Anolis sagrei: one gene and its partner. The protein of the gene in region 2 interacts with the protein of the main gene of each other region in a biochemical or structural test. Links are inferred from orthologs where the notes say so. Each region holds a gene or a part of one and is shown on either strand. Other genes may lie near its edges. The genes, in order: CPLX1 and SNAP25.

What was found.
Region 1: the proteins of SNAP25 (region 2) and CPLX1 are reported together in a solved structure, tested with the Homo sapiens proteins (2 studies listed by BioGRID, with this or other methods). The link is inferred for Anolis sagrei from reciprocal best matches to the Homo sapiens genes SNAP25 and CPLX1.

Annotation. Positions count from the first base shown.
Region 1 is NC_090022.1:154,135,966-154,151,447, reverse strand, and holds the start of CPLX1 (complexin-1), read right to left. Parts: upstream 6,989-15,482; 5' UTR 6,891-6,988; intron 3,562-6,890; exon of another isoform or gene 3,431-3,561; intron 3,212-3,430; exon of another isoform or gene 2,980-3,211; intron 672-2,979; 5' UTR 588-671; coding exon 557-587; intron 1-556. UniProt on the Homo sapiens protein: Positively regulates a late step in exocytosis of various cytoplasmic vesicles, such as synaptic vesicles and other secretory vesicles.
Region 2 is NC_090021.1:145,056,713-145,071,684, forward strand, and holds the start of SNAP25 (synaptosomal-associated protein 25), read right to left. Parts: upstream 6,350-14,972; 5' UTR 6,196-6,349; intron 1-6,195.

The DNA of each region.
Region 1 (15,482 bases), on a different chromosome or scaffold from region 2:
ATATTGCATTAGTAAAGAGCAGTGGTGGGAAAAACACTGCGGCTCTGCATGTAGAAAAGGATGCTGGATGCATAAGAAACGGTTATAGGCTTGAGGCAATTCTCAATGCTGCCCCCTATTGGTAGTGGATGGATGGATATTAGATAGATAGATAGATAGATAGATAGATAGATAGATAGATAGATAGATAGATATAGATAGATGATAGTTCTCCCACTAAGCATCCATTCAAAAACCATATATTTTACATAATATATCAGAAGAGGTCTAATTAAGAAACACAGAAAGGTTGAAAATGTTTCAGCCATTCAACTCAACAGTCTACCCAAGGCTTCATGAAACCAGTTAGCTACTAAGGTTACCAATGTGAAATTGGAATAGTTTGCAATGAAAATAAAACTATATAAGGGGGGAGGATACAAATCCATGCTTTCACTAAGCATCTGCATTATAAGGTAAGCTATATCAATTATCATCCCATTATAAATTCCACAGTGATGGTTTAAAATCCCTTCTTCTCTTTAAACAGAAGTAAAATAATATTTTTTCCTCTTACCTCCTAAAGCCTGCTTCATTACAAATTCCATGATGATGGCTTTAGATTCCTTTTCACCAGATCAGTTTTCACATGCAAGTCCAATGGTGACAAGTTCTTGAGTTGCAGCCTGCAGCTGAATGCACAAAGTGAGAGATTAGCGTTAGGACAGCCGTATTTAGTATTCTGGCCCAAGCTCCATATCTTACTGCATTAGATCTCCTTTGCCTTTTGGAAATCAACTGGGCTCAAGATCTCAACACACAAACACACACAAAATGTACTTGTTTATGTTTTAGACAGCTAGAAAGCACAATACACACACACACATATATATACACACTCATATACCCACACACATGATATAATGACCTTTAAAGAGTAAGAAGAAGTGGGGAATCTATTTCTCATGAAGTGTCATGGGATATCACTGAATTAATAGGAAACTATGCCTGGAATTAAATACTACTCATTCCAAATCTTCTTGTTAGAATACCAAGCTCAGCAAAGCTCCGAAAAATAAATAAATAAATAGCCCGCTTGGATTTTTATATGCTGTGTAAACAGATTTGTCCATGGAGATAGTTAATTAAACTTTCCCAACACCTGTTCATTTCATTTTGACCTCTCTAGTTGAACCCAGAACACGTTCAGTTTACATGGCATTTTACAACTGATAAAGAGTTAAACATTTGCAACTTCAGCAATCCTTTCGAAAAGAAATGTGTGTGTGGGATGGGGAGCTCTAGCTAATAAGAGCAGAAGCAGCTCTTGGGGGGCATTTGAAGGTTGAAGCCCTTGTGCTTCTTGAAAACTCAGCAGCAGCCTTCTCTGCCAGACACTCTTAATGGACAACCTCATGTCTGCATCATTGACCAGGAGAGCCACTCCAGTCAAATTGAGTTAAATATCAAACACCACATTATGACAGAGAGCGGGGAGGGCAAGGAGGGAGGCAGGGAGGGAGAGATTTAATGCAAATTGGCTAGTGGAGTTACATCAATATCACATACTGGGGAAAAAATCCTAATGCTAGACAAATATATTCTTCCTTTTGGGGAGAAGAAGCTGAGATCAATTCTGCTAAAAGTCACTGGGAACTTTACTTGAGCAATGAGGCACTATGATTCTCACTACTGAGACGGGAGGAAACTGCGGCACAGATTTTTAAGTTAGCGCAACAACCCCAAGGTGGTTAACTGGACAGCAAAACCTGTCCACTTCCTCTACACAAACATGCAACATTGTACATATTACTCAGCATTTCTGATGCATTTTTTGGACAGGACTGGAACTCCAGAAGTGAATACAAGCGATTACAGTTTGGTTGTGCTGCCGCCAAGCAAGAACAGGCAGTTTTCATGACTCGGCAGAGCCAACAAAATAAAATTTTGAGTTTTTAGATAAAGGTAAAGGTAAAGGTAAAGATAAAGGTTTTTCCCCGACATTAAGTCCAGTCATGTCCAACTCTGGGGAAGTGTTACATATGTGACACTTGGCTTTTAAGTCCTGATTCTTCACCTCAAAAATGGCCCATTCCCCCAGGTCTTCTCTTTTAAGATACAGTACAAGAAGCAATTTTCACATTGTTTGTCATCTCCATTTCTAAGCCAGTGTTGTCTGTAGACACCGCCAGGGACATGTGGCCAGCATGACCCACCGGAGTGGTACCTATTGATCTACTCACATTTTTGAACTGCTAGGTTGGCAGAAGCTGGGGTAACAGCAGAAGCTCACACTGCTCCCCGAATTCAAACCTGTGACCTTTTGGTCAACAAGCTTAGCAGTTTAGTGATTTAATCCACTGAGCCATAGGGGGTTCCTAAGCTTTGCTTTACTAACCCCACAAGGAGAGGGGGAGCATTCATTAAGTTAGATAGAGAAAAGAAAAAATGAAATCTAGAGAGGATATGCTACAATGCTGCATCGATTGGCCCTTTCTCCCTTTCCAAACTTCTGTCCTTGAAAGAAACAGAGCTCTCGCACTCCTGTGACAAGTTGATGCATCGTCGCCTGCACCAAAAAGAGCCGGAGACATGGTTCAAATGCCAATGAGGATCCAATAAGGAGGGGGAGAGAGAGGGGGCTTCCCCAGGCGTTGGATTTTGCACCATTGCAGGGAGGTACCCCAAAGCTTTTGCAGTCTCTGTTTCCTGCCAATCCTTCCAGCTTTTGGGAGGGGACATTGGGTGCTTGACCCATACATCCAAACTCAGAGAGCGTATGGGGTAGGAGGGGGGTGCTGTGCCGTTGGGTCGTTTCCCCCTTCCTTTAGGCTACTACCCGCACTCACAACCTCCTCCTGCTTTGCTCTCAGCGGGGAGCAATGGGAGCGTTCAGCACCAAGGACACTTCCCTGAGCCAAGCGAATGCGGGAGCTTTCAGCACGTTGGAGAGCTCCCAGCCCAGCAATAAGAATAGGCGGCAAAGACCGAGAGTGATACCTCGTTGGGCGCCTTGGATCTCTCTCTCTCTCCGCGTTTCTTCCTTTAGTGGGTCCTCTTTCTCCCGCGATCGGCCGGGTCCATGCGTGACAAGGCGTGGGCTTTCCGGGCAGGGCCAGGAAGAAGTTCTCTCTTCCCTTTCTTTTCCGGACAGGACCAGGATGAGGCAGCAAAGCGAGGGAGGAAGCAAGGACGCGCGGCGGCAGCGCCTTGACTTTCACGGCTCCCTCTTTTTATCACGGGATTTCCGGGACCATCCCACTGACACGCTTCCCGCCTTACACGCGACGCGGGCGCCTTCCTCCTCCTTCTCTTCCTCCTCCTCCTAGCGGTGCTGCTGGGTCGGCATTTCTCGCCCTGCTCTTTCTTCTTCCTCCTCCTCTTCCTCTTCTTCCCCTCCCTTAACCGCGACTTCTGCCGCAGGAAGTTATTGGGCGCACACCTGCAATTGTGGGGCGGATTGAGGGATCCCCAAAGGGGGGAGGGCTCTAACGCAATGGGATCCCCAACACACAGACGTCTGGGCGCCTTAACAAAAACACTGACCTGCCCCTAAGCAGTTGGAACAGGTTGAAAAATGCGGTAAGAGAGATGTATCTCTATGTTTTGCTGTTACTGGAGGGTTGGGCTCCCGCTCTAGAGACACCGGTTCGAGTCCCCACTAGGGCAAGGGAAACCCTCTGAGTGACCTTGAGCCAGTCACACACTCTCAGCCCCGGGAAACCCCGCGAGAGGGACTCCATCCCTTGGAAACAGCTGGGAGGCGCCCCACAACAACAACAACACTCGTGGAGCCTTTCCGGTGGGGGAAAAGAACGTTATATGAGTTGCTGTGAGTTTTCCGGACTGTATTCCATATTCCAGAAGCATTCCCTCCTGCCTGACGTTTCGTCCACATCTCTGGCAGGCATCCTCAGATGGTGAGGGATCTGTTGGAAACTAGGCAAGTGAGGCTTGTGTATCTGTGGAATATCCAGGGTGGGGGAAAGAACTCTTGTATGTTTGAGGCAAGTGTGAATGTTACAATTGGCCACCTTGATTAGCATTGAACGGCCTTGCAGCTTCAAAACCTGGCTGCCTCCTGCTTTGTTGGGAGGCATTAGCTGGCCCCAGGCATGTAGCCAAGGAGGGGCTTGAGGGGCTTCAGCCCCCCCCCCCCCGAAATTCTCATGAAATTCTCATGAAATTCTCGCGAAAAGGCCTTACTGGTGCATTATTTAGACTGTTATGTTTATTCATATCATGATCTGATCACCATATTCAATATATCCCATATGCATGGGGGTATTGGGGTAATGATACAAAAGGTTTGCTAGAGTAGACCCTCTTTCACTCACTCAGCCCCCCCCCCCCGAAACTCAGGGCCCCCCGAACCCCCCCCCCCCCGGAAAAAACTCACCACCACCCCCAATCGAAATCCTGTCTATGGGCCTAGCTGGCCCTGATTGTTTCCTGTCTGGAATTCCCCTATTTTCTGAATGTTGTCCTTTATTTACTGTCCTGATTTTAGACTTTTTTTTATATACTGGTAGCCAGATTTTGTTCATTTTCTTGGTTTTCTCCTTTCTGTTGAAATGGTCCACATGCTTGTGGATTTCAATGGCTTCTCTATGTAGTCTGACATGGTGTTTGTTTGAGTGGTTCAGCATTTCTGTGTCCTCAGATAATATGCTGTGTCCAGGCTGGTTCATCAGGTGCTCTGCTATGGCTGACTTCTCTGGTTGAAGTAGTCTGCAGTGCCTTTCATGTTCCTGGGTTCGTGTTTGGGCAATGCTGTGTTTGGTGGTCCCTATGTAGACTTGTCCACAGCTGCAGACTCCTGCAGAGGTGAAAGGATCCCTCTTGTCCTTCCTTGAATGTAGCATTTGTTGGATTTTCTTAATTGATCTGTAGATTGTTTGTAGGTTCTATTTCTTCATCAGCTTCCCTGTGGTTCTCTTGATGTCATAGAATCATAGAGTTGGAAGAGACCTCATGGGCCATCCAGTCCAACCCCCTGCCAAGAAGCAGCAAAATTGCATTCAAAGCACCCCCGACAGATGGCCATCCAGCCTCTGTTTAAAAGCTTCCAAAGAAGAAGCCTCTACCACACTCCAGGGCAGAGAGTTCCACTGCTGAACAACTCTCACAGTCAGGAAGTTCTTCCTAAGGTTCAGAGGGAATCTCCTTTCTTGTAGTTTGAAGCCATTGTTCCACGTTCTAGTCTCCAGGGCACCAGAAAACAAGTTCGCTCCCTCCTCCCTATGACTTCCTCTCACATACTTATACATGGTTATAATGTCTTCTCTCAGCCTTCTCTTCTTCAGGCTAAACATGCCCAGCTCTTTGAGCCGCTTCTCATAGGGCTTGTTCTCCAGACCCTTGATCATTTTAGTCGCCCTCCTCTGGACACATTCCAGCTTGTCAATATCTCTCTTCAATTGTGATGCCCAGAATTGGACACAATATTCCAGGTGTGGTCTAACCAAGGCAGAATGTTGGGTAAGAACATTTTTCCTCTGGGTGGATCTTTACTCTCATAGCTTGGTCTTAGTCTTGCAGAAGGATTCCCCCAGGCAGGAAGCAGCCAGGCTTTTAAACTGCAAGGCCATGCAATGCTAATAGCATAGTGGGTTAAACCTCTGTGCTTGCAGGTCTGAAGACCGACAGGTCGAAGGTTCGAATCTGGGGAGAGGCGGATGAGCTCCCTCTATCAGCTCCAGCTCCTCATGCGGGGACATGAGAGAAGCCTCCCACAAGGATGATAAAAACATCAAATTATCTGGGCATCCCCTGGGCAACATCCTTGCAGACGGCCAATTCTCTCACACCAGAAGTGACTTGCAGTTTCTCAAGTCACTCCTGGCATGACAAAAAAAAAGCCATTCAATGCTAATCAAGGTGGCCAGTTGCAACATTCACACTTGCCTCAAGCAGACAAGAGTTCTTTCTCCCACCACAGAAATATAAACCCCACTTGCCTAGTTTCCAACAGACCTCACAACCTCTGAGGATGCCTGCCATAGACGTGGGCGAAACGTCAGGAGAGAATGCTTCTGGAACATGGCAAGGCAGCCCGGAAAACACACCGCAACCCAGTGATTCCGGACATGACAACACATTTCGACAACACCTAGAACGGTGTGACTTGGGGAGGGAGCCAAGTCAGCAGTTTCTCCTGTCTTCTCGAGGCGCCGCAGACCCATTTCCGGAAATGTAAGGCTTTTAGGGGCCAGTTTAGGGGGCAGGGAGGAGGGAGGCACTCTCCTTTGGCATCCACAATGGAGGGATTTTCGCTCCTCTCCAACCACACAACTCTGCCGGCTCTCCCCTCCTTTCTCTCCGAGGGGCGTCTGAAGGTGAACCCAACAGTATGGCTGAATGGGGATGCCGAGCCTCCAAGAGGCAGGCGAGAAAGAGGGGGGAAGGGGTCTAGAAGAGAAAGGGAGGGGTGACGCGGGGAGGGGAGGGAGACACCTTTCGTCCTTCACATCCCTCCCTTCTCCTCATTTTTTTAACATGCTGCAATAGGGCTCTCTCTCCATCCCTCCTCCTTCTTCTCCTTCACCCTCCTCCTCCACTGCAGAGACCCAGTCAGCTGATACCGCCTCCCCAAAGAGGCCCCAAAGCGCTCAGTCCTTGCGTGACGGGCTGCAAGAAAAGGGGAAGGAAGGAAGGAGGGAAGGAAGGGGGGAAGGGGTGGGGGTGCAGTCCGGAGCTCCCCGGTTAAATCCGAACGGGAAGAAGGAAGGAGGAAGAGGGGGGGGGGTTGCAGGAGGCGGAGGTCACGTGAGGACGCGGCTCCCCGGGAACACGTTACAACCAAGGTCAAAGGGGGGAAGGAAGAGGAGGGAGGACGCCCCAAAACCCACCCTGGGGAGGGAGGGAGGGAGGGAAGGGGGAGAAGACTACCCGCTCTCAGGCGCGCTTACTCAGTCGTCAGGCCCGCTGGCTGCTCCCGGCGCTGGCTTCGCTCAGGAAAGCTGGAGCTCTTGTGCATCTACACTGCAGAATTGAAACCGATTGACACCCCTCCACCTGGCCTCTTTGGCAGAGCAGGCTCAAGACCTTTGTCAAACTACAACTCCCGTGATGCCAGAGCCATGGTAGTTATTTATTTATTTATTTATTTCGAGGTTCTATATACCGACCCTCTCACCTTCAAAGAGGGATTTTCGGGCTATATGGCCCAGTTAAAGTGGAATCAAATTCTACAGGACTGTCAAATTCATTTTCATGGGGGGCCACATCATCTCTCAAAGGACCAAGGCAGAGACATCTCCAGCTCATCCCGTTTGGGTATCAGCCAGCACGTCAACGACTTAAATCAAGACATAGTTTTCTTAGATCTACAGAGACACTCGCTGGAACACCCCAGCAAGCGAGAGTCCAAAAGTGGCAGGCCCAAACCCAGCACTTCAATCCATGGGTGATACCAGATGAGAGACTCCCCCCTGGGCACACAGAAGACTGGGCGACTTGGAAGGCGCTGAACAGACTGTGCTCTGGCACCACGAGATGCAGAGCCAACCTTGAGAAATGGGGCCACAAAGTGGAATCCTCGACATGCGAGTGCGGAGAAGAGCAAACCACAGACCACCTGCTGTAATGCAACCTGAGCCCAGCCACATGCACAATGGAGGACCTTCTTGCGGCAACACCAGAGGCACTCCAAGTGGCCAGATACTGGTCAAAGGACATTTAACCAACTACCAAGTTTGCAAAATCTGTGTGTTTTTTTTCCTTTTTCCTTTTAATCTGTGTATTTGTTTTGTTCTGTTAGAATTGTAACACAATGGTATGGTTGCTGATGACACGATAAATAAATAAATCTCTCAAAGGGCCGTTGAACCCATGGACAGAGAATCCCTGGATGTAAAGGGTCAATTATAATTTATTTGTATACTAGCTTGGGCACCCTGGTGGCGCAGTGGGTCCGACCGGGGTATTGGGTGGCAACCTGTGCTTGACGGGGTCTGTAAAGGTAAAGGTAAATGTTGTCGCCTGACATTAAGCCCAGTCATGTCTGACTCTGGGCAGTGGTGCTCATCTCCATTTCTACGCCGAAGAGCCGGCGTTCTCCATAGACACCTCCAAGGTCATGTGGCCAGCATGACTGCATGGAGCACCGTTGCCTTCCCAGCAGAGCAGTACCTACTGATCTATTCACATTTGCATGTTTTCGAACTGCTAGGTTGGCAGAAGCTAGGGCTGACAGCGGAAGCTCACGTCGCTCCCCGGAATCGAACCTGCGACCTTTCGGTCAACAAGCTCAGCAGCTCCCGGACGGGGTCGGACTCCCTCTGAAGACACAGGTCCACAGCTTGGGGGTCCTCCTAGATTCAGTGCTGACACTTGTATAATAATAACTTTGTTTTTATACTCCCACCATCCATCTCCCATAGGGGACTCGGGGCGGCTTACAAGGGACACGCCCAAGATTACAATTAAAGCACACATGTAAAACACTTGGACCAATTAAAACATCAGATAAAACAAATAACAACACAATTAAAATCAATATAAAAACAATACGGCTGAAAGAAACATAGCTGAGGTACAGATTCAATGAGTGCAATACATTTTTACAGGACTGCAGGAAAGTGCAACAATACAGTAAAATGGGCAGGAAATACTGTCATAACACATGTAGAGGTAGGATGTATGCCAGTGTAAAATGCGGGCTGGTGTAAAGTGCGGAACTTCAAGTAGGGACAAGAAAGTTACTGGTGAGCTGCTTAGTCAAAAGCGCACTGGAATATCCAGGTTTTCAGTTGACTATGAAAGGAGGACAAGGTGGGAGCCTGTCTGATCTCCCTAGGGACAGAGTTCCAGAGCCGGGGGCCACCACCAAGAAGGTTCTCTCCCTCGTCCCCATCAACCGTGCATGTGACAGCAGGAGGGGAGAGAGCAGTGCCCTCCCAGAAAATCTCAAGGTACGCACTTGTTTATAGGGGAAGATGCGGTCACGAAGATAAGCAGGTCCCGAACCATTTAGGGTTTTATAGGTGATGACCTGCACCTTGAATTGGGACTGGAAACTTATCATAAGCCATTGGAGCTGTTCAAACAGGAGGGTTGACCGCTCTCTGTAACCAGCTCTTGTGAGTAGTCTGGTTACAGATCTCTGGACCAACTGTAGTTTCCGGGCCGTCTTCAAGGGAAACCCTACGTAGAGTGCATTGCAGTAATCCAACCTAGATTATGCATTTGATGCTCAGGTGGGCCACAACCATAACTGAGTGATATTTATTATTATTATTATTATTATTATTATTATTATTATTATTCAGGTTGTCTATCAAAAATGCAACTGGATAAAATGCATCACTTCAAGAGAAATGATGATTATGACAATCAGGGCCAGCTAACACCTCCCAAAAAAGATTCCCCCAGGCAGAAAGCAGCCAGGCTTTGAAGCTGCAAGGCTATTCAATGCTAATCAAGGTAGTCAACTGCAACATTTACACCTGCTTCAAACAGACAAGAGTTCTTTCTTCCTCCTTGTACATTCCATAGATATATAAACCCCACTTGCTTAGTTTCCAACAGACGTGGGTGAAACGTCAGGAGAGAATGCTTCTGGAACATGGCCATACAGCCCAGAAATTTCACAGCAACCCAATGATTGTGAAATTTGCAGACAAAAAATGTAAACAAAAAATACTGGAAAAGAAACACACATTCCTTGGAAAGAACAGGGAGCAAAGGTCTCCATTCAACAGTTGCTCTTATTTAGACTAGACCTATTGGATCAAAGGAACATATGTAAATACTGACTTTCCAAGTTCTGGTTGATTCACTGGATCTAGTCTAGTTAGAAATCACTGACCGACACACATTTTGATGCCTCAAATATTAAATCTGTTTCAAGGTATATATGACCTGCTGATTCCAAGAATGGCACCAGTTTTCCTTATCAGTCTTAGGTTTTGAGATACAAGACATTTGGCATCTATCAGTTGCCATCTGCTCACCCATAGAAAACCATTATAACTGTATCTACGAAACTAGAGCTGATGCAGTCTATTCAATGCAATTTTCTGAATCAGTGCCCCTAATAACTCCAGGAACCGGACTAAAAACCAAGAGACCAAGAATTTTTTTTGTTGGGCTGTGTGAAATAATTAGATTTAGGTTTTTGAGTCTTACAAGAGGATATAGTACAATGATGGGCTGAGAATGAAGGCAAGATTCAGAGGATAAGAGATTTCACAATCTTCCCTTCCCTTCAAGTGTACATTTTTGAGGGTGCCCAGGCACAGGAGAGGTAAGGCCAGAATATTGAGAAGAAATAAGCCCTGTCCAGTGGTGCAGTGGGTTAAAATACCAAGGTGCTAAATGTGTTGATCCAAAGGTCGCAGGTTTGAATTCGGGGATCAGTGTGGGTTCCCGCTGTTAGCCCCAGTTTATGCCAACCTGTGTGCCAAGTTTGGTTCAATCTGCTTTGAACTGGAATATGCAGTTTATGCAGTTTGAAAAGGTGCAAATGTGAGTAGATCAATAGGTACTGCTCCGGTGGGAAGGTAACGGCGCTCCATGCAGTCAAGCTGGCCACATGATCTTGGAGGTGTCTACAGACAATGCTGGCTCTTTGGTTTAGAAATGGAGATGAGCACCAACCCCCAGAATCAGTCACGACTGGACTTAATGACAGAGGAAAACCTTGACTTTTACCTTTACCATTTCCAAAAGGGGCCTTGAGTTTCATGTTTCCACATTTTCTGTATATGATTATGCATGTTTTCTATTCCTGCCTGCAGCAGATTGTTCTATAAAGGAAACCACTGGGAAGCTGTTACCTATTTTGAATTATATTAAATACTAGCTGTACCCCCCATGCGTTGCTGTGGCCAACCTTCCCTCACTCTTTCTCTCCTTCATTCCCTCCCTCCCTCTTTCCTTTCTTCCCTCTTTTTCTTTCCCTTTTTCTTTCTTCCTTCTCTACCTGTTTCTTTTCTAACTTCCTTTGCTCTTTGGTTCCATCCTTCCTTGTCTCTTTCCTTCCTTCCTTCCTTCCTTCCCTCCCTCTTTCTCTCTATCATTCCTTCTCTCCTTCCTTCCCTCTTTCACTTTTTTATTTCCGTCTCACCTTCCTTCTCTACCTTTCTTTCTTTCCTTCTTTCCCTCTTTCTCTCCCTCTTTTTCTCCTTCCTTCCTTCCTTCCTTCCTTCCTTCCTCCCTTCCCCCTTTCTGTGTATTTGTTTTGTGTGTGCATATATGTGTGTATGTATTTCTGTATATATTTGTGTATATGTGTAAATATGTGTGTTTGCATACATATGTGGTTTTGAGCATGTGTTGTAATGTATTTTTTTGTTTTTCTGGCTTTTAAAGTCTCTTCTGCTGTGTTTTCCAGTGTTTTTATGAGTGATGGTCACTTGCTGGCCAGAGAGGTGTCTTGTGTCCAAATTTGGTGTCAATTTGTCCAGTGGTTTTTGAGTTATGTTAATCCCACAAACAAACATGACATTTTTATTTATATAGATTTGCAATAGATGGGATCCGTCCATTCATTTACTGAAGGTATATATTTTTAAAGATGACAATGGACCTGCGTTGCCAGTAATTACTTCCTAATCCAAAAGAGGCATGGGCTCAGATGTTACTGAAGTGCAGCTTCTGTTTTTCAGTCTCCTTTGTACCCCAGCCTAGACTAAAAATGCCTCTCAGAGTGACCACAGTTGATTTTCAGTGGGCTTAAACCACACATTGAACTCTGTACTGGATTTCAGCCAGCTGGAATAAACTAATACAGTGGCTTAGAGCCAAGGCAGACATTAGCACTGCCTGCTAACTGTTGCAAATAACCAGCTCATGGAGCAGAACTATGCCTGTGAGCAGTCTAACCTCAGAACTGCCAAGTCATGCAAGGTTGCTCTTTCTCTCATACAAACAGAAAGAAAGTACAAGTTTTTCTGTGTGCCAAAGGAGATCTGCAAATTCCAGTGAGCCCAGTCTCCCATTGTTAAGAGGCTCATGTGAACTGACCTCTTGCCAGATAAGTGGCTACCAGTAAAATCGGCAATAAACAAACCAACCAACACAATGGTACAGCACAACCTTGTGCCCTTGAGAAGTGCACCATGGATAGTACAAAATGAGAATCAGTAAATATATGCTATGTGAGATGTATACATTCCTTGCACAATGCCCTTGGATATATTGTGTGTTGATATATTTCATCAGGTCCTACAGAAACCTGGACATTAGCAGTTCAGAGAGAAAGAAATGTAGAATTTTCAGACTCCCCTTGTACTTCTAACTAAACTACATATTTCAAGAGTCCATGGGGGTCAGCCCTGAAAGTTAAAGTGAAACCATAGTGCTATAACTCTGCAATGTGAAAGGACCTCAGATTTTACAACCATTGTGTGTGCATGGGCGATACACCTCCCACAGCTGACCCAAGAAAAACCACTAACACAAGGTTGTTGGGATTAACAATGGCCACAACTCATTTATTGATAACAGGAACAAAGGTTGGCAGCCATGCATGGGCCCTGGATCAGGATTGGGCAGCCCACTGCTGTCCGATACCACCAGGGTGCCACCAGCACAATACTGGGCCAATGTAAACTCGACACCCCTGAGACTACCAGGCGTTCCCCCCTTCCGCTAGAGGGGGATACCAAGCCAGATCCTGGGCCCATGCAAACAGGAGTTGTGATGGGTAGCACCTAAACAAGCAACTGTGAACAGGTAACCATGACAAGCTCTGGCCACGGTAGTCCACGCTCTGGTTACATCCCGTTTGGACTACTGCAACGCTCTCTACGTGGGGTTGCCTTTGAAGACGGCCCGGAAGCTCCAACTAGTCCAACGTTCGGCAGCCATGATACTAACGGGAGCAGAGCGCAGGGAGCATACAACTCCTCTGCTGTACCAGCTCCACTGGCTGCCGATCTGCTACCGGGCTCAATTCAAAGTGCTGGCGTTGGCCTTTAAAGCCCTAAACGGTTCTGGCCCAACTTACCTATCCGAACGTATCTCGGCCTATCAGCCCGCCAGGACCCTAAGATCTTCTGGGGAGGCCCTGCTCTCTATCCCGCCTGCTTCACAGGTGCGGCTGGCGGGTACGAGAGACAGGGCCTTTTCTGTGGTGGCCCCGCGGCTATGGAACACCCTGCCCTTGGAGGTAAGATCAGCCCCTTCATTGATGATATTCCGAAGAAGATTGAAGACCTGGATGTTTAAGCAGGCATTTGGTTAACCCAATGCAACAAATGGTAACTGACTAAAGGACTGGCAACATGGATGACGAACTGGATCACGTTTTTAGTTAAGAGTCGAACTGGATTGGTATTGATGTATGAATTGTGTTTTTATGTTTTTTATGTTTTTTATGCTTTTAACTGTATACTGTTGATTGTTATATTATGTTGTAAACCGCGTTGAGTCGCCGGCTAGGCTGAGAAACGGCGGTATATAAATATAGCAAATAAATAAATAAAATAAATAAATAAGCTAACAAAGCAAGCTAACTGTAGACAAAAAATGCAAACAGCATGCAGGGTGGGTGGGGTGGATCAGCTGATGCAGGTACAGTGCCTGCTGGGGAGCTTGGGGCAGCCTTAAATAGGCTGCCCCATAGGAGGGAGAGGCCAGCTCCAGCCTTTCCCACAGTGAGGCATGACCAGCTGGCCAATTGGCCACCCGGCCATACGAGGTGGCTTCTGGGAGGAAGAAGTCCCCTCAGGCAAAAATGGCGGTGGAGGATGCCCCGCGCCACAATGTCCCTTGCCTGGTAAGTTGTACCATGCCTTTTCTTAACACATATGCCCCAGCTTACAGGTAGCTCTTCAGGTTCTGAATCTTTTTGGAGAGTAGAGTTCAGCAACAGGACAACTCCCATCTCATCCAATGGCCCTATACCTGAGAAGTGGATCCAGCAGATCTCTTTAGACCAGTGGTTCCCAACGTTTTTTTTGGCCAGCGACCACTTGGCCAGGGACTATTCTCCAAAATTATTACAAAAGGGTTACAAATCAGTTTTTGGTCAACTTTAGATTCAGTTTGGTTATTTAGGGTGGTGATTCAGAAAATGGCATTGAATAGACCACGTCAGCTCTAGTTTCTGATACAAAATATATGCCATCAAGCAGTCGCCATCTTCTCACTCCATATTTAATAATCCAGAGATGATGTGATCTATCCAATGAAATTTTCTGAATAAGCTCCCCAAATAATCCCAGGAACAGGCTTAAAAACGAAGACACCAAGTCTCCTCTGCCTTCAAGTGCCACATGGAATGGTTCCACTCAGGGTGAGGGAGGAGGAGGAGAAGCAGTCAGGAGGCTTGTTATTATGCCTTTCATGGGTAGTCAGCCTCTCCCATCCCTGTTGCCTCGGCACTATAAGATGGGTTCACAAGATCAGTCGTTCTCTTTGCAACAGTGTAGTAGCGGTGAGACCATGGACCATATTTTCGTTCTTGGGGGAAACTGGTGGTCCACAGACCATGAGTTGGGAACCACTGCTTTAGACAGATTCAAGCACAGAGAGACTCAAGAGTAAAATGCAGACTCAAGAGAAGTAAAGTGTCTGGCAGGGAGGAGCTAGACTCTTTCGGGAGGCTATGAAATACTTGGCAGTCAATGCTCTACTCCCATTAGAAATTTGATATCAGAGAACCTCTCAAAAGAAGGCACTCTGTAAATATTCTGGAAATTGAAATAGATTCATAGGACTCAAAGGAAAACATATACCTGCCCTGGAATCAATGTGAGGAAAGTGTTCATAAAGGAAGAAAATGGCTGGGCATGGCCTTATAAATAAAAGGGGGAGACACTTTTATAACCATGAAGCTTCCAATCTGTTGGCACAAACTAAAAAAGCATGGGAAAAGCAGGCCCTCAGCTACTTCCCTGACAGGATTGCTCTGTCCTTGTGTGTTTCTAATTAGCTTAGCGTTGCTTGCTGCAAAGCAAGAAAAATCAGACATGGAACTAATTAGCAGAGTCAAAAATGTGGCCTTTGGTTTAGCTAAGCCATGTCATAGGTTCACAAGATATTAAAAATACGTGAGGAAAATGGAGATAACAGAATTAATTTATTCTCCCTCTTTTCAAATTCTTAGGAGGAGAGAGGAAGAGCTGGATGCAGCATCTCCTTGGGTACTGAGTATTGAGAGATGAGGAGGAGGAGGAGGAGGACAACAATGATTTCTATCTGTCTCTTCCCATGCAACATATTGTATATAAGTTAAAAAAAACACAACCAAGTTGAAACAACAATGTAAAGTAACACAAAACTCAACACATAGTAAAACAGCCAGTACATAATTCAAAATTCATAGTTTAAAAATCATATTTTAAAAAATCAGCTAAATAGGCCTGCCAGAAGAGACTGGTCTTTATTGATGTTTTAAATTCACTCAGCTTGTTTAATGGTCAAAGTTCTTCTGGCAGGTCATTCCACAATCTAGGGGTAACTGGAGAAAAAGTCCTGTGGGTGATCATCATCAGACAGACTAGTCATGACTGACTGGAAAAAGTATATGGAAGGGATTATGTGGGAGGAGA
Region 2 (14,972 bases):
GGATGTCAGGTGGTGCAATACCAGCTAAACAGTATAATTTCTCCAGTGGTGTGGGGCATAGCCATCCTGTGACAACACAGCACGTCTCATTAAGAACGAGGTATTCCACACTGTAGGTCATGTTGACTTGGTTGAGCCTCCTTCTCTGGAGGTTTTCAAGCAGAGGCTGGATGAGTTGCTGTGAGTTTTTTGGCCAATGTTCCAGAAGCATTTCACCCACATCTCAAAGTAGGCCCATAGCCAGGATTTTGAGGGCTGAGTTTGATTCGGGGCGGGGGGGGGGGGGTGAATCTGAGTGAAAGAGGGTCTACCCTAGCAAACCTTTTGTATCGTTACCCCAATACCCCCATTGTTGTTGTTGTTCATTCGTTCAGTCGTCTCAGACTCTTTGTGACCTCATGGACCAGCCCACGCCAGAGCTCCTTGTCGGCCATCACCACCCCCAGCTCCTTCAAGGTCAGTCCAGTCACTTCAAGGATGCCATCCATCCATCTTGCCCTTGGTCAGCCCCTCTTCCTTTTACCTTCCACTTTCGCCAGCATCATTGTCTTCTCTAGGCTTTGCTGTCTCCTCATGATGTGGCCAAAGTACTTCAACTTTGTCTCTAGTATCCTTCCCTCCAGTGAGCAGTCAGGCTTTATTTCCTGGAGGATGGACTGGTTGGATCTTCTCGCAGTCCAAGGCACTCTCAGAACTTTCCTCCATGCATATGGGATATATTGAGCATGGTGATCAGATCATGATATGAATGAACATAACAGTTTAAATAATGTACCAGTAAGGTCTTTTCGCAGACCACCATGAGAATTTCCCGGGGGGGGGGGGGGCGCTTGAGCTATATGCCTGTCTCAAAGGTTGTTAGGTCAGTTGGAAACTGGGCAAGTGGAGTTTATATATCTGTGGAGTGTCCAGGGTGGGAGAAAGAACTTTTGTCTGTTTGAGGCGAGTGTGAGTGTTGCAATTGGCTACCTTGATCAGCATTGAATAGCCTTGCAGCTTCAAAGCCTGGCAGGGGTGCTTTTCCTACATGGCAAGAAGGGGTTGGGCTGGATGGCTTTTGGGGTCACTTTCTTCCAACTCTGAAGATTCTCTGATTCTTGGGAGACGAAGGCTGGCGTCTCCTCCTCCTCTTCCTCCTCCTCCTCCCTCCTTGGTGCCACGCGCCATCTGAGTCATTATTGCCTTCTTGGAACAGGTTCCCGGCTGCTCACGCAACCGACCCTTGGCTTAATCCAATTGCTGCATTTTCTGGCAGGCGGAGGAGCCCTTGTGGAATCCCGCTTTGGCCCCGCAGAGAGATTCTCATTGAGTTGCCATACATTTCCCAAACCCACTATGTTTCAATTTTCCTCCCCCCCCCCTAATTTCTTTTGGAGTCACGAGGCACCCCAAGAACGCCAGGAATGAAGCTTGGAGGGGCGTCCTCCTCCCCCGCGCGCCTCTCCCGCGTGGCCTCTCCCTCCCCGCTTTGCCTGGGGGCGGGCCAAACCATTCCAAAGCGGAGGGGGGAGAGCGAGAAAAGAGAGCGAGAGGCTATGTTGGGCTGCTTCTTCTTCGAAGGCGCGTGCTGCGCTGGTCACGTGGGGCCGGGCCGCTGTCGCAGGTTTGAATCACAAGCCCGGCTCGAGCGCAGAGGAGCCAAACCGTGCGGAGGAAAGAAAGATGGCTCCGTGCTATGGAATCTGGGGTGATCTTGTAAAACCACAACTCTTTGAAGATTCCCTAGCATTGCTACCATTCCTTCTACAGCGCCCAAAGGTGCGCCATTGAGAATTGGGGAGAGGGAAGGGTGTTAGTGAGGAGGACCTCCGTCCGAAGAACGTGCTTCCTCTTCCTCCTCCCGCCCCGCCTTGAATGCCGCAGATGGACGCCAAGAGCGGCTGGAGAAACGTGACCGAGAAGAGAAGCTGATCAAGGGGGGCGGGTCGCAAGGGGGCGTGTTTGACGTACATCTAGATCTAGGGAGACTCTGGCGCCTCCAGGGAGGGGTTCTCAGTCTCCCCCCCCCCCTCCCTCCAATCGATCAGCCTTCCAAAATCAGAACAGGCGGAGGCGCTAGATGGAAACATCCATCTCTCTTGGCGCCTTGGTTCCCAGAGAGCCGCCATGGCATGTTTGTTTTGGAAATACCCCCCCCCCCCCCCCAACACCAACACCACTTCCTCTTGCAGAGAGAGAGAGAAAGATGGAAAGAGCTAAAATCCCCGATACTCTGGCATCTTTCCTTTTGACTCAACCAAACTAAATGGGGCTTTAATGGATGCCCTGATTCTTGGCGTCATTATGTAAATAGATATTAGATAATGACGCTATGTATGCATGTAATACGTATAGCAAGAGTAATTAACGTTCCTGGGGGGATGGGGATTTGGTGGTGGTGGAATTGGGGAAAATACTGGTATTTTGACTGTTTATTTTGAAGATTGTATGTTTCTATATATGATACAATATATTTTTAAAAAGCTATGTATGCATGCATGTGTGTATATGTATATGTATGTATGTGTATATATATATATATCCAGGGGCATGTAGCCAGGTTGGGGGGGGGGGGGCTTGAGGGGCTTCAGCCCCCCCCCCCCCCCGAAATTCTCATGGTGGTTCACAAAAAGACCTTACTGGTGCATTATTTAAACTGATATGTTTATTCATATCATGATCTGATTACTATATTCAATATATTCCATATGCATGGGGGTATTGGGGTAACGATACAAAAGGTTTGCTAGGGTAGACCCTCTTTCACTCAGACTGAGCCCCCTCCCCCCCCCCCCCCCCAATCAAAATCCTGGCTACGGGACTGCCTTGGAGGTGACGTTTGGTGCTGCTTCAGAATAAAGATGACTTTGGAAAAGAGAAATGCTACCAATCCAAGAACAGAATCTAAACCGTCGGGAAAGGGCTTGATGCAGCTATTCCCAGAGGGCGAAATAAACTCAGCCCCCCCCTCCCCGAATCGAAATCCTGGCTACGGGCCTGTATATGTCTGTGTATATGTAAATATATAAATACAGATGCATCTATATATGTATATATAAGTATATATGCATATATAAATAAGGATGTACCTATATATGTATAGATAAATAAGTATGTATGTGTATATATATATATATAGGTGTGTGTGTATAAGTTTGTATATATACATATATATGTATGTATGTATATATAAAGTATGTATACATATGTATAGATAAGTAAGTATGTATATATATATGTTTATATGTGTGTGTACAAGTTTGTATATATACGTATATTATATATTGCTTCTTGGCAGGGGGTTGGACTGGATGGCCCATGAGGTCTCTTCCAACTCTTTGATTCTATGATTCTATATGTATGTATATATAAAGTATGTATACATATGTATATATAAATAAGTATGCATATATAAATAAGTCTCTCTCTCTCTCTCTATATATATATATGTATGTACGTATGAATATATAAATAAGCATATTTGTGTGTGTATATATATAATAAGTATATATACCGTATAACTATGTATATTTATGTATATGTGTGTACTGTATTTATGAATTGGAGTGCGTTTTACAATCGATGGCGTCTTACAATTTCAGTACCAGCACCACCCACAAAAAATACCCAAGATACACCCCATTTTTAGAGATATAGGGGGAAAGTGCGTCTTGGAGCTGAAGGTATACTAGATAAATAAATAGATATATAGTATATCTTCAGTCAAGGGGGGGTTTACCTTTTTAGATAGATAGATAGATAGATAGATAGATACCTTCAGTCAAGGGGAAACCTTTATCTCCCTATCCCTATTTATTTATTTTTTACAAAATAGACATGTCCTGCCTTTCTGAAGCAAGATTGTGTGTATGAGAGAGGAATGCTGCCGGAGCCCCCCCGCTGCCAATCCGTTACATAAGATAGCACGCACCCGGTTGAGGGAGCTCTGCAGCATCAGGGTCCTCCTCTTCCTCCTCCTCCTCGTTCGGCTTCCCTCCCCTCTGATAGAGAAAGGTGGGTTGGGGAGGTGGGCGGGAGAGTTTTGAAGCCCATCTCCAGCACCCATCTCCTCTCCTTCCTTCTCTCCATCCCCCCCCTCCCTACTCTTCCCCAAAGACTCTTGCCCATAATCCAGTTTCAGAATGGCCTCTCGACATGATGTCGTAGTAGGCAGGAAACATGAATGAAGCCGCCCTCCCTCTGGCCGTGGCAAGAGGAGAAAGGGTTCAAAACCACTAGGAAGCGGAATAGGAACCCTGCAGCCTGCTCTCTATTTAGAGTCCCCACGATGCTTGTTATTCCTCTGCGTATTGGAAGAATCTCTTCCTAGATAAACAAGGGTCCATAGTATTGATTGAGGGAAAGAGATATTCATATTCAGCAACAACTGAAGGTTTTGCGACAGGACTGCAACGGCACGGTTGGGAGAGCTTTCCAGCTTCCCTAAATGGCGATGGATGCGGAGGTGAATTTTTGAAGAGGCCAAGGAAGGGGGTGAAGCATGTGAGGCATGTAAACAGTCTTGATCGCACCCGGAATTTGGAAATACGGGACTAAATCCCACTGTTGTCCTCCCCAAGTAGAGCAGACCTCTTGGAAGGAGCCATGACTGACTAAATGCCACATTGAATGAGTAATAAATGACTGGAATATAAATAGACTCATTGGATGAGTAACGTTTTGCAGTCCTTGTGCGGGCTTGATTTGGTCCAGTAGGTCTATGCGGTGGAGGCTAAGCCTTAGATTTAGCTTGATGTTTCTCACTAGTTGTTACTATTTATATCATTATTAATTATTATTATTAATTGTTATTATGCGTAGCCCCCAGGCATCGAGGCAAGAGATTGGCCTTCCTTCTCTACAATGTCTCAGAGCCAGAAACCCTTGCTCCTTCCTGAATGCAGACAGGGGAGCTGTCCGAGGTGCTGAACCCAAGCTCTATACTGTGTGCGGGGTTTTCCTCTGAGCCGGAAACGCTGTATACTTAATACAGGCAGGTGAGCTGTCCGAGGTGCTGAATCCAAAGCCCTCTGCAGTGTCTGCGGGGTTTTCTTCTGAGCTCCTTATCCTTAATGCAGGCAGGGAGCTGTCCGAGGTGCTGGACCCAAGCCCCCTTGTGTTGCTGTTGCTGCTGCGGCATCAGAGCTGGGAGCTGCGCGCGCAGCCCCTGATGGATTCCTGCGACGGAGGCGGCTGCTGCTGTCCATGGTCCTGAAAGTGGAGCTGCGGCGGAAGACCCTCGGCCGCTCTATGCAACAAAATCCGCGCTATATCTCTGGTATTATATCCCCCACACACATCCTTCCAACTTTTGCCACCATATTACGAGGCAGCCAAAACAGAGCTATGCGCCAAAACGAGAGAGGAAATGAAAGCGAGAGAGAGGCCAGCAAAACAAAAACAAACCCTTTGCTTTCCCTGTTCAGGAATGCTGGGAGAAGAGCATTAATAAGTTAAGAATACATGAATATTGTCGAAGGCTTTCATATCCGGAATTATAAGGTTGTTCAATGTATTGTCGAAGGCTTTCATGGCCGGAATCACTGGGTTGTTGTAGGTTTTTCCGGGCTATATGGCCATGTTCTAGAGGCATTTTCTCCTGACGTTTCGCCTGCATCTATGGCAAGCATCCTCAGAGGTAGTGAGGGCTGTTGGAAGTAGGAAAATGGGTTTATATATTTGTGGAATGACCACAGACCACAGAGTTTTCCGGACTGTATGGTCATGTTCCAGGAGCATTCTCTCCTGACGTTTCGCCTGCATCTATGGCAAGCATCCTCAGAGGTAGTGAGGTCTGTTGGAAGTAGGAAAATGGGTTTATATATCTGTGGAATGACCACAGATCACAGAGTTTTCCGGACTGTATGGTCATGTTCCAGGAGCATTCTCTCCTGACGTTTTGCCTGCATCTAGGGCAGGCATTAATATTTCTCTCCCCTTCATCTTCTCTTTCATTATGATTGGAGATATTTCTGCTCCTCCTTCTCAGACTAAACAGTAAACAAATGAGTGTTTTTCTCTCTCTCCATCTTCGTACTGCTCCTCCTTCCCTTCTCGGCCTAATGAGGGTTTCTCCTCCCCCCCCCCCCCCCCCCCCCCCCCCTCTAATCAGAAATAAACATCAGGGTTGAAGAGATTCATACTCTCCTTTCTCCCCCGCAAAGCAATGGAAAGAAAAGAAGGCAGGCGCCAGGGAGTGCTTCCTTCCCTCCTTACCTGGCCTCCGGGAGCGTTGCTTCCTCGCAAAGCCTGGCTTGGCTGGCAACCGGGGAAGGAGAAGGAGAAGAGCCGCTCCTGACCTCTCCGAGTCTCCTTCTTCAATGAAACGGGAGCTGTGCCCTCATCAAAGATGGCCGTCGCTCCCAACGTCAGCAGCTTTTAATAGACATCTATTGAGGGGCGGATGGGAGGGGGAGGAGGGGAGGGAAAGGAGGGCGCGCGCGCGCACGAGGAGAAGGGAAGGGAGGGGGGAAGAGCCGGAGCGCCAGGGAGGCGTCTGGGGGAGCTTGACTCATCAGAAGCTGATGCTGCTGCTGCTGTTACTGCTGCTGCACAATATACCGCAATCCCGGGCATTTCCCTCCCCCTCCTATACAGAAAAGAAAACAGAGAGGAAGGGATCCGGTAAAAAAAAAAAGCAGTTAAAGGACCCAAGAAAGGGGGTGTGATCTTCCGTGCAAGCCAGAGTTTGGAAGGGTGTTTTGAAAGGGGGAAAAAGTATTTGTTATGATGAGAAGTTTTGGTTTCCTTCAGCTGGGGGCGGGAGCAGCACTGCGGTAGGGATTTGTTTTCGCTAGAGCAGTGGTCCGAAAAGGGTATTCCTCTGAAGACTCCAGCAGACTCCATATATGGCCTGTTGACGTGGCTCTTTCTATTTTTAAGGATGCTTTTCCTTACTCCGAAGAAGCCACATTTCTCGGGGGGCTTGTCAAACAAGACAATGAGGACTCCCCAATAATTAAAATGTGGGGTTGTTTGTTGTTGTTGAGAGGTTTTACTTTTTTGCCTTGTAATCTACGTTGGCACATAATGCAGGGTTGCCAAAGAGCTGATTATATCTTTAGAGAAATGCAGAGGTGCCATAGATTCAGCCCACAACCACCAGCCTTATTTACTTTGTGTTGTCGAACGCTTTCATGGCTGGAATCACTGCGTTACTGTTAGTTTTCCTGGATGTATGGCCATCTTTCAGAAGCATCCTCTCCTGACGTTTTGCCCACATCTATAACAGGCAGGGCTGTAGCCAGAAATGTTTTTTGGGGAGGGTTGAAAATTTCGAGGGAGGGGTTGAAAATTTCGAGGGGGGGGGGGTGTGTGTGTGAAAATTTCGAGGGGAGGTCAGGCCTGTAGCCAGGATTTCAATTCGGGGGGGGGGGGGGGCTGAGTTTTTTTCAGGGGGGGTTACGGGGGGGGGGGCTGAGTCTGAGTGAAAGAGGGTCTACCCTAGCAAACCTTTTGTATCATTACCCCAATACCCTACCTGCCTACAGTTTCTCTCCTCCTGCTGCTTGGCCTCATCCAACTCTATGATTCTATGAGGCCTCATCCAACTCTATGATTCTATGATTCTGGATATATGGGATATATTGAGTATGGTGATATGAATAAACGTAACAGTTTAAATAATGCACCAGTAAGGCCTTTTCGCGAACCACCATGAGAATTTCGGGGGGGGGGGTGGCTGAAGCCCCTCAAGCCCCCCCCCCAGCTAAATGCCTGGGGGGGGGCGTTGAAACCTGCCTCCTAGCTCACGCTTAAGCAAAGAGCACAGCAGGGGGCAGAGCAGCCTTCAATAGCCTGCAGCTCCGCCCCTGTAAACCACCTCCACCAAGTCTGGCCTCCTTAATGAAAGCATTCAAACCCCCCCCCCCCCAAACTTGGTTGCTTCACTGCATCGGCTATTGCTGCATGTAATGACAGTGTGAACAAATTGTCAATATTTGCTTGAGAAAGTGCTTGCAGTTCTGGAGGGACTCTTAATTTTTGCATCTCATAGATTTAGCATGGGGATTTGGTTAACCAGTTAAAATTCATGAGTGAACTAGGTTTTTTTTAACCTGAAAATTTGGGGGGGGGGGGTTGAACCCCTAACACACACACACACACACACACACACCCGCTACAGGCCTGATAACCGGCATCCTCGGAGGTTAGGAGGTTATGAGGTCCGTTGGAAGATAGGCAAGCTTATTTACTTTGCTCATCTTCAAACCTGGATCTAGACACTAGACTCCTATTGATGCAGGCCAAAATCCCATTGGCTTTTTTTGCTGCTGCATCACATTGGTGGCTCATGTTTAACTTGTTGTCCATGAGGACAAGTTAAATATAGTTATTTTTCTATTTAATAGAAAAATAACTACATGCATATGACTCCTACAAACTATATTTTTTCATCTTGAAACACTTTTGTTTTTATGTAAAGGAATCAATATAGGATGAATCTCCCTTCTCTCTCCCCATCCTGAAATATATCCCATCAAAGAACCACTGTGGCCCAATCCCTTGAAGAAAATCAAAGATAGCACAACCATGTTGACAAAGCAGGGAAGCAGGATGTGTGTCTCAGTAAATCTTGAGTTCAGGTGGACCATAAAGAAGGGAAGCAGAAATAACAGTGACCCTCTTCCTCTTTTGTTGGAAAGGGAAACCTTCTACAAGCCTCCTATACCAGTTATTTGTTTAGTATATAATTCAGATTGCTTACCGTATTGTATATGTGTGTATTGGTTTGCAGTTATCCTCAGTTCTATGTTGTAGGAGGGCTGCAACATAGAACTGGGACTGTTCATCTGAAACTCCATTTTACTAACTGTATAATTTCCAGATGCCAGTAGAAACAATATGCTTTTGGAAGACTGTAGAAACTGACTGCATACACACTATTAGACTTTCAGACTAGAGAGATGCTCCAATGGTTCTCAACCTGTAAGTCCCCAGATGTTTTGGCCTTCAACTCCCAGAAATCCCAGCCAGTTTACAGATGTTAGGATTTCTGGAAGTTGAAGGCCAAAAACATCTGGGGACCCACAGATTGAGAACCACGGCTTTAGACTATGAGCTGTTAAGATTACAAGAACAATCCCCTGTGTTATCTGCACAGAGAAATTACTTCAAATCCTATCTGTAACTGGATTGATAAGCAATGTACTTATATGCTGAATACTTGAAGTTTGTGAGTAAACCAACTATGCTGTTTTAACAAAGACTACTTTATTTTTGGCATCTTGAAGCATGATTTAAACCAGGATGTTTTAAGAGACAGTTGATGTTTGTTTAGGCAGCTGAAATAATACTTTTGAAACTCTGATATATGCATTGGCATATCTTTGTTCCTAACAGTTCAAAGAGATATCTAGATATATCAGTCTAACATCTGAGAAACCTAATTGCTTTGCATGAATGCTAGTGATATTTACCAGTAAGGGGAAGGTTGACTCAAGTGCATTTTTAACTCTTCTCAGGAAGATCATACTTTACAAAAAGGTTATGATCTCTAACAAGGTCATGCCTTTCTAAAAGATTCCTGGTTTTTCCAAATGGTTATGAATATTCATTTTCCAAAAGGTTATGGAGATTTCCATTTTCTGAAATCTTTAGTTCTCCTGCTTTTCCTTTTTCAGTTTGACATGATCATGAAAAACTGTGGTGCCCGATCTTGAGCTAAAATTCCAGGACACTTGGTTCCCCTGCAGAAACCTCATTTAAATTTAGATGTTCTAAAACTGGAAGAAGAAGAGGAGGAGGAGGAGAAAGAAGATCTTTTAGAAATGTAAGAGGCAAGGCAGAAGAATGAGAAAAGACTCCAGGCTGCCTGCCTGTTATGTGCCTGCTATAGCTTGTAGAAAAGTATTTGAAATGAGATGAGATGCAAGGCTCCTGCTACTGAAAGCAAACCTCTCATTTTTGAAATGGAACTCATCTGCAGTCTTGACTACACCTCTCAGAATCCTTTGCCATTGGCCATGTTGGCTGGGAGTTTTGAGAGTTGAGGTCTGATAGCATCTGGGGAGCCAAGGCTAGAAACTATCTTTTCTTTACTTTTCAAGGGACTCAAGGTATCAAGAATCAAAATCATGGGTATATTAGGACTCTGGGCACTTTCTGCCTGCCCGTTCATCACAGATCCATCAGCCCAGAAATGCAACAATCTCTGTCTAACCTTCTGGGCCTACCATATGCTTCCTCTCTTCATGAATAAGATTGTGTGGCTTGGATTGTGTGGCTAGGATGGTCCACAGAAATGAGCACCCAAAGTACTGGCCTTCCCTCCATCCCTTCGTGTTCACAGTTGTCTTGAAAGAAAATATTATTCGATGTATCATTCCATCTGGCTCCTTGTTACTTTGGTACTTTCACAAAATTACTGAGGATGTATAGCAGATGTGTGCGGGCGGCCCTGAAGTAAGGCTGATGGTGGCAGAGAGGAGGGGAGAGGGAGGTTTGGATGTCAGGCTTGTTTCTAGGCAACAAAGGCTCTCCTGGGAAACTGCAATCATGAGCAAACTGGGAAGGGAAAATAAGTGGGCCTTGACTGGGAAGGTAGTGGGAAGGGGGCGTTGACAGCATTTGAGAACTAGCCATCTTGGGGGATTCCCTCAGAGCACAACTATGCCAAGTGTAGGAAGAAAGAATGAAGAAAAGTTTCTGGGAACATTCTGGAATGTGCACTCTTGTACATAGTGGTGTCACAAAGTCTGGACTACTTAGTACAAAACAAGATACCGTAAAGTCCAGAGTAATTACAAATAATTGTGGTAATGTTTTTTTCTTCTCCTTATTTAAAACTATGGAGTTGAGGAGCCTTCTAATCAAGGTGAAAGAAGAAAGCACAAAAGCTGGGCTGCAGCTAAACATAAAAAAAACCAAGATTATGGCAACAAGAATGATTAACAACTGGAAAATAGAGGGAGAAAATGTGGAGGCCGTGATAGACTTTGTATTTCTAGGTGCAAAGATTACTGCAGATGCAGACTGTGGCCAGGAAATCAGAAGACGCTTACTTCTTGGGAGGAGAGCAATGTCCAATCCCGATAAAATAGTAAAGAGTAGAGACATCACATTGGCAACAAAGATCCGCCTAGTCAAAGCCATGGTATTCCCTGTAGTAACCTACGGATGTGAGAGCTGGACCTTAGGGAAGGCTGAGCGAAGGAAGATCGATGTTTTTGAGCTGTGGTGTTGGAGTAAAGTTCTGAGAGTGCCTTGGACTGCGAGAAGATCCAACCAGTCCATCCTCCAGGAAATAAAGCCCAACTGCTCACTGGAGGGAAGGATACTAAAGACAAAGTTGAGAATTGTAATTTTAAATGGTAATTTTATTCTTCTCCATGCCAAAAAAAAAAAAAAGCTGCATACTGAAATGGATGGTGTTGGTTTGGGCCTCTCTCAGAAGGAATTCTTCCTCTTGCCCAGTAAAATGAGAAGGCTGAGAGCAAACATGGGACTGGCAGAGAAAGAAATGTCACTCAAATAGCATTGTTTCCAAATCCCCAATGACAACTGATGGCTTCCATGTAAGTGGGATAGCTTTTAACCCACACTATAGGATTTGCTCATACGCTGCACATTACCCTATATATTCATTACCTTAGCTAGCTCCTTTAAAATTCAAGCAGAAACCCAGACTTAATTCACAACCCAGTGGAATCAAAGTCATCAACTGCTATTATTTATGATTGATTGTTTATATTGCCCATTTGCTTTGTTTCTTATTTTGTGTTGTTAGCTGCCCCGAGTCCCCACTGGGAGAGAGGACAGGATACAAATAAAGTTTTGATTGATTGTTATGGAGACTGCTACTGAGGCCCCCACGACCCTGCCCACATAATCCATATTATAGCTCCAAGAAAGCAAACCCTTGTCCAATGTCACAACTATTCAATTTAGATTCTGGTGTGACTGTCTTGTTCTGCTGCTGTCCTGATAACTGACAGTCATGTGGCACAGGTGGATATAGCTTTCCTCCTCATCCACATCTCCAAAGTAGGGTGAAGCTGTGATGCTTTTACTCTGTGCCAAAGTGCTGCTGGAGAGGTGGTGTGAAAGTGATTGTCCCTGTTTGCTTCAGCTTTATTATTGCTGTGAGACAACAGGTTGGTGTGATAAAACCCTGAATTGAGGAAACTCTGGACCATGAATCTTACCATCTTTGCTGAGCCTGGTGGTAGCAGAACAAGAGAGATTATTCACATTTACAGGGCACCACTGCAAACTGTTGAAACAGGAAACTATGATGGCACAGCAAAGATCCTGGAAACAACTAAAATTGTCTAGATATATTCCAAAACATGGCCCTGGGAGAAGGCTCCAGTCTACTGGAACCTAGCCAGAGATAAATATAGCCCAAACTACATTTGGAAAGATGTGTCTCCACAAGAGATGGATGGCATGGGTTACAAACCTCTGGGTAACACTGGTGCAAAAATGAATGTTGATGGAAGAAACAGCCTTGGAATGGTCAAACCAATATTTTCCTGCTAATGTTGTAGCTGGGGAGCATGTTCCTTCTAGGTGTGACTGATTCTAATTACCTGCAGCTTGGCAAATGATGATGGATGATGGGAACTGTAGCAGCATCTGGGGGTGGAGACGCAAGCTTTCCAGTTCTTTATTCATAGAGGGATATTGGCCTTCAGCCTGAGACATTTGTGTTGAAGCATTTCAATAAAGCTTTGACTTACTGGAAATTCCTGGCGAGTTCCTCCTGGCCTCTATTCTCACTCTGTGAAATTGGGACATTACTGGCCAGCTTTATTTTGTGAAGGAATGTAACAGTTATGACCCCAAAGAAATGTGTGACTAATACTTTTTTTAAAAAAAATATCCTCCACAGCATATTATATTTTCCCTATCTTTCCTACCAAGTTACTTCTGAATCAGAATCTGCATTTGCACTTAAGCATGAGAGGAGGAGGCTTGAGCTGCTAAGCAGAAGAAAACAGTAAAAAAAAAAATCTCCCTATACACATCCAGGTCTTCAGCAATTGCTTAGGGAGCTGCCTGGATTAGAGCCAAGGTGGTCCCTATGGTGCATTGAAAGAACTGCATTCTAAGAAAAAAAGATCGAGTCAAAATTTGAATACTTCTTTTTGTAGCAGCAAATCAGGGAATGAGTTCAAAAGAACAGACACAGCTTAGCTCTGTTGTGTATACAAAGGCTAATAATTTGATAGGAAGAACTTGCATTATTCCTGTCTCTGCGTTTGCTCACCAGTTATGCCCCATATATCTACTTTTATTGGTTAAGAGTGCCAGGCCGAGTAACTTTACTTTCTAAGAGATGAACCCCCAGAATGCCCTGGTTGGCCCTGGTCATGTTGACTGGGGATTCAGGGATTTGTTTTTCACAAAAGTATATTTCCCAAACTCTGCTTCTATCCTCCTTTTTTATATAAAATAATCAGATCTAAAGAGATTGAGGGTAAAGTCACATTGAAATGTGTATAGGAATTTCATTTAAAAAATGAATAATTATGGTTCTTAGAAGGGTCCATGGGTATTTTGCTTTCCTTCTCTTCTTTCACATGCTGGTGAGATGGCTTGTTTGGGTGGATCTACACCAGTGGTTTTCAACCTAGGGTCCCCAGATGATTTTGGCCTACAACTCCCAGAAATCCCAGCCAGTTTACCAGCTGTTAGGATTTCTGAGAATTGAAGGCCAAAAACATCTGGGGACCCCAGGTTGAGAACCAATGATCTACACTGTTGAATTAATGCAGTTTGATAGCACTTAAACAGCTATGGCTCAATACTATGAAATCATGGGAGTTGTAATTTGGTAATGTTTTAACCTTCTCTGTCAAAGTGTGCTGCTGCCTCATCAATATAAAACTCCCTTCTGTTTTTCTTCATCACTCCGGTGATTTATCATTTTGCTTTTATTTGGAGTCTCGAAAATGAACCTATTATTTATTTATTTCCGGTATTTCTATCCCGTTCCTTCTCAACCCCTGAAGGGGGACTCAAGACAGCTTACATTTGGCAGTAATTCGATGCCACTACATATAGCACAGCAATATATTAACAATTAAAACAATAAGTAAAGCATTTATTAAAACAGCAAAAAACAGTATTAATAGCTGTAACATCATTCTAGTCAATTCCATATCCAACTCCATGTCCAAAGTGCTATCTGTGTCTGTTGTCCAAAAGCCTGGTCCCAGAACCACACTTCAATTTCTTCCTAAATGACAGGAGGGATTGAGCTGATCTTATCTCAGTGGGAAGTGAGTTCCACAGGTGGGGGGGGGGGGGCACAGCCGAGAAGGCCCTGTCTCTCGTTCCCACCAGATGTATTTGTGACACTGGTGGGAGCGAGAGCAGGGCCTCCCTGGATGATCTGAAACTTTGAGGCGGGATGTAGAGGGAGATGCGTTTGGACAAGTAAGCTGGGCCAGAACCATATAGGGGGTCGGGACCCCTGGGGGGGTCGCAAGGGGGTGTCAGAGGGGTCGCCAAAGACCATCAGAAAACACAGGATTTTCTGTTGGTCATGGGAGTTCTGTGTGGGAAGTTTGGCCCAATTCTGTTGTTGGTGGGGTTCAGAATGCTCTTTGATTGTAGGTGAACTATAAATCGCAATAAGTACAACTCCCAAATGTCAAGTCTATTTTCCCCAAACTCCACCAGTGTACACATTTGGACATATGGAATATTCCTGCCAAATTTGGTCCAGATCCATCATTGTTTGAATCCACAGTGCTCTCTGGATGTAGGTGAACTACAACTCCCAAACTCAAAGTCAATGCCCACCAAATCATTCCAGTATATATCTGTTGGTCATCGGAGTTCTGTGTGCCAAGTTTGGTTCAATTCCATCATTGGTGGAGTTGAGAATGCTCTTTGAGTGTTGGTGAACTATAAATCACAGCAACTATATGTCCCAAATGACAAAATCAATCCCCCTTCCAACCCCACCAGTATTGGGCATATTGGGTATTTGTGCCAAACTTGGTCCAGTGAAGATATGTCCTACATACCAGACATTTACA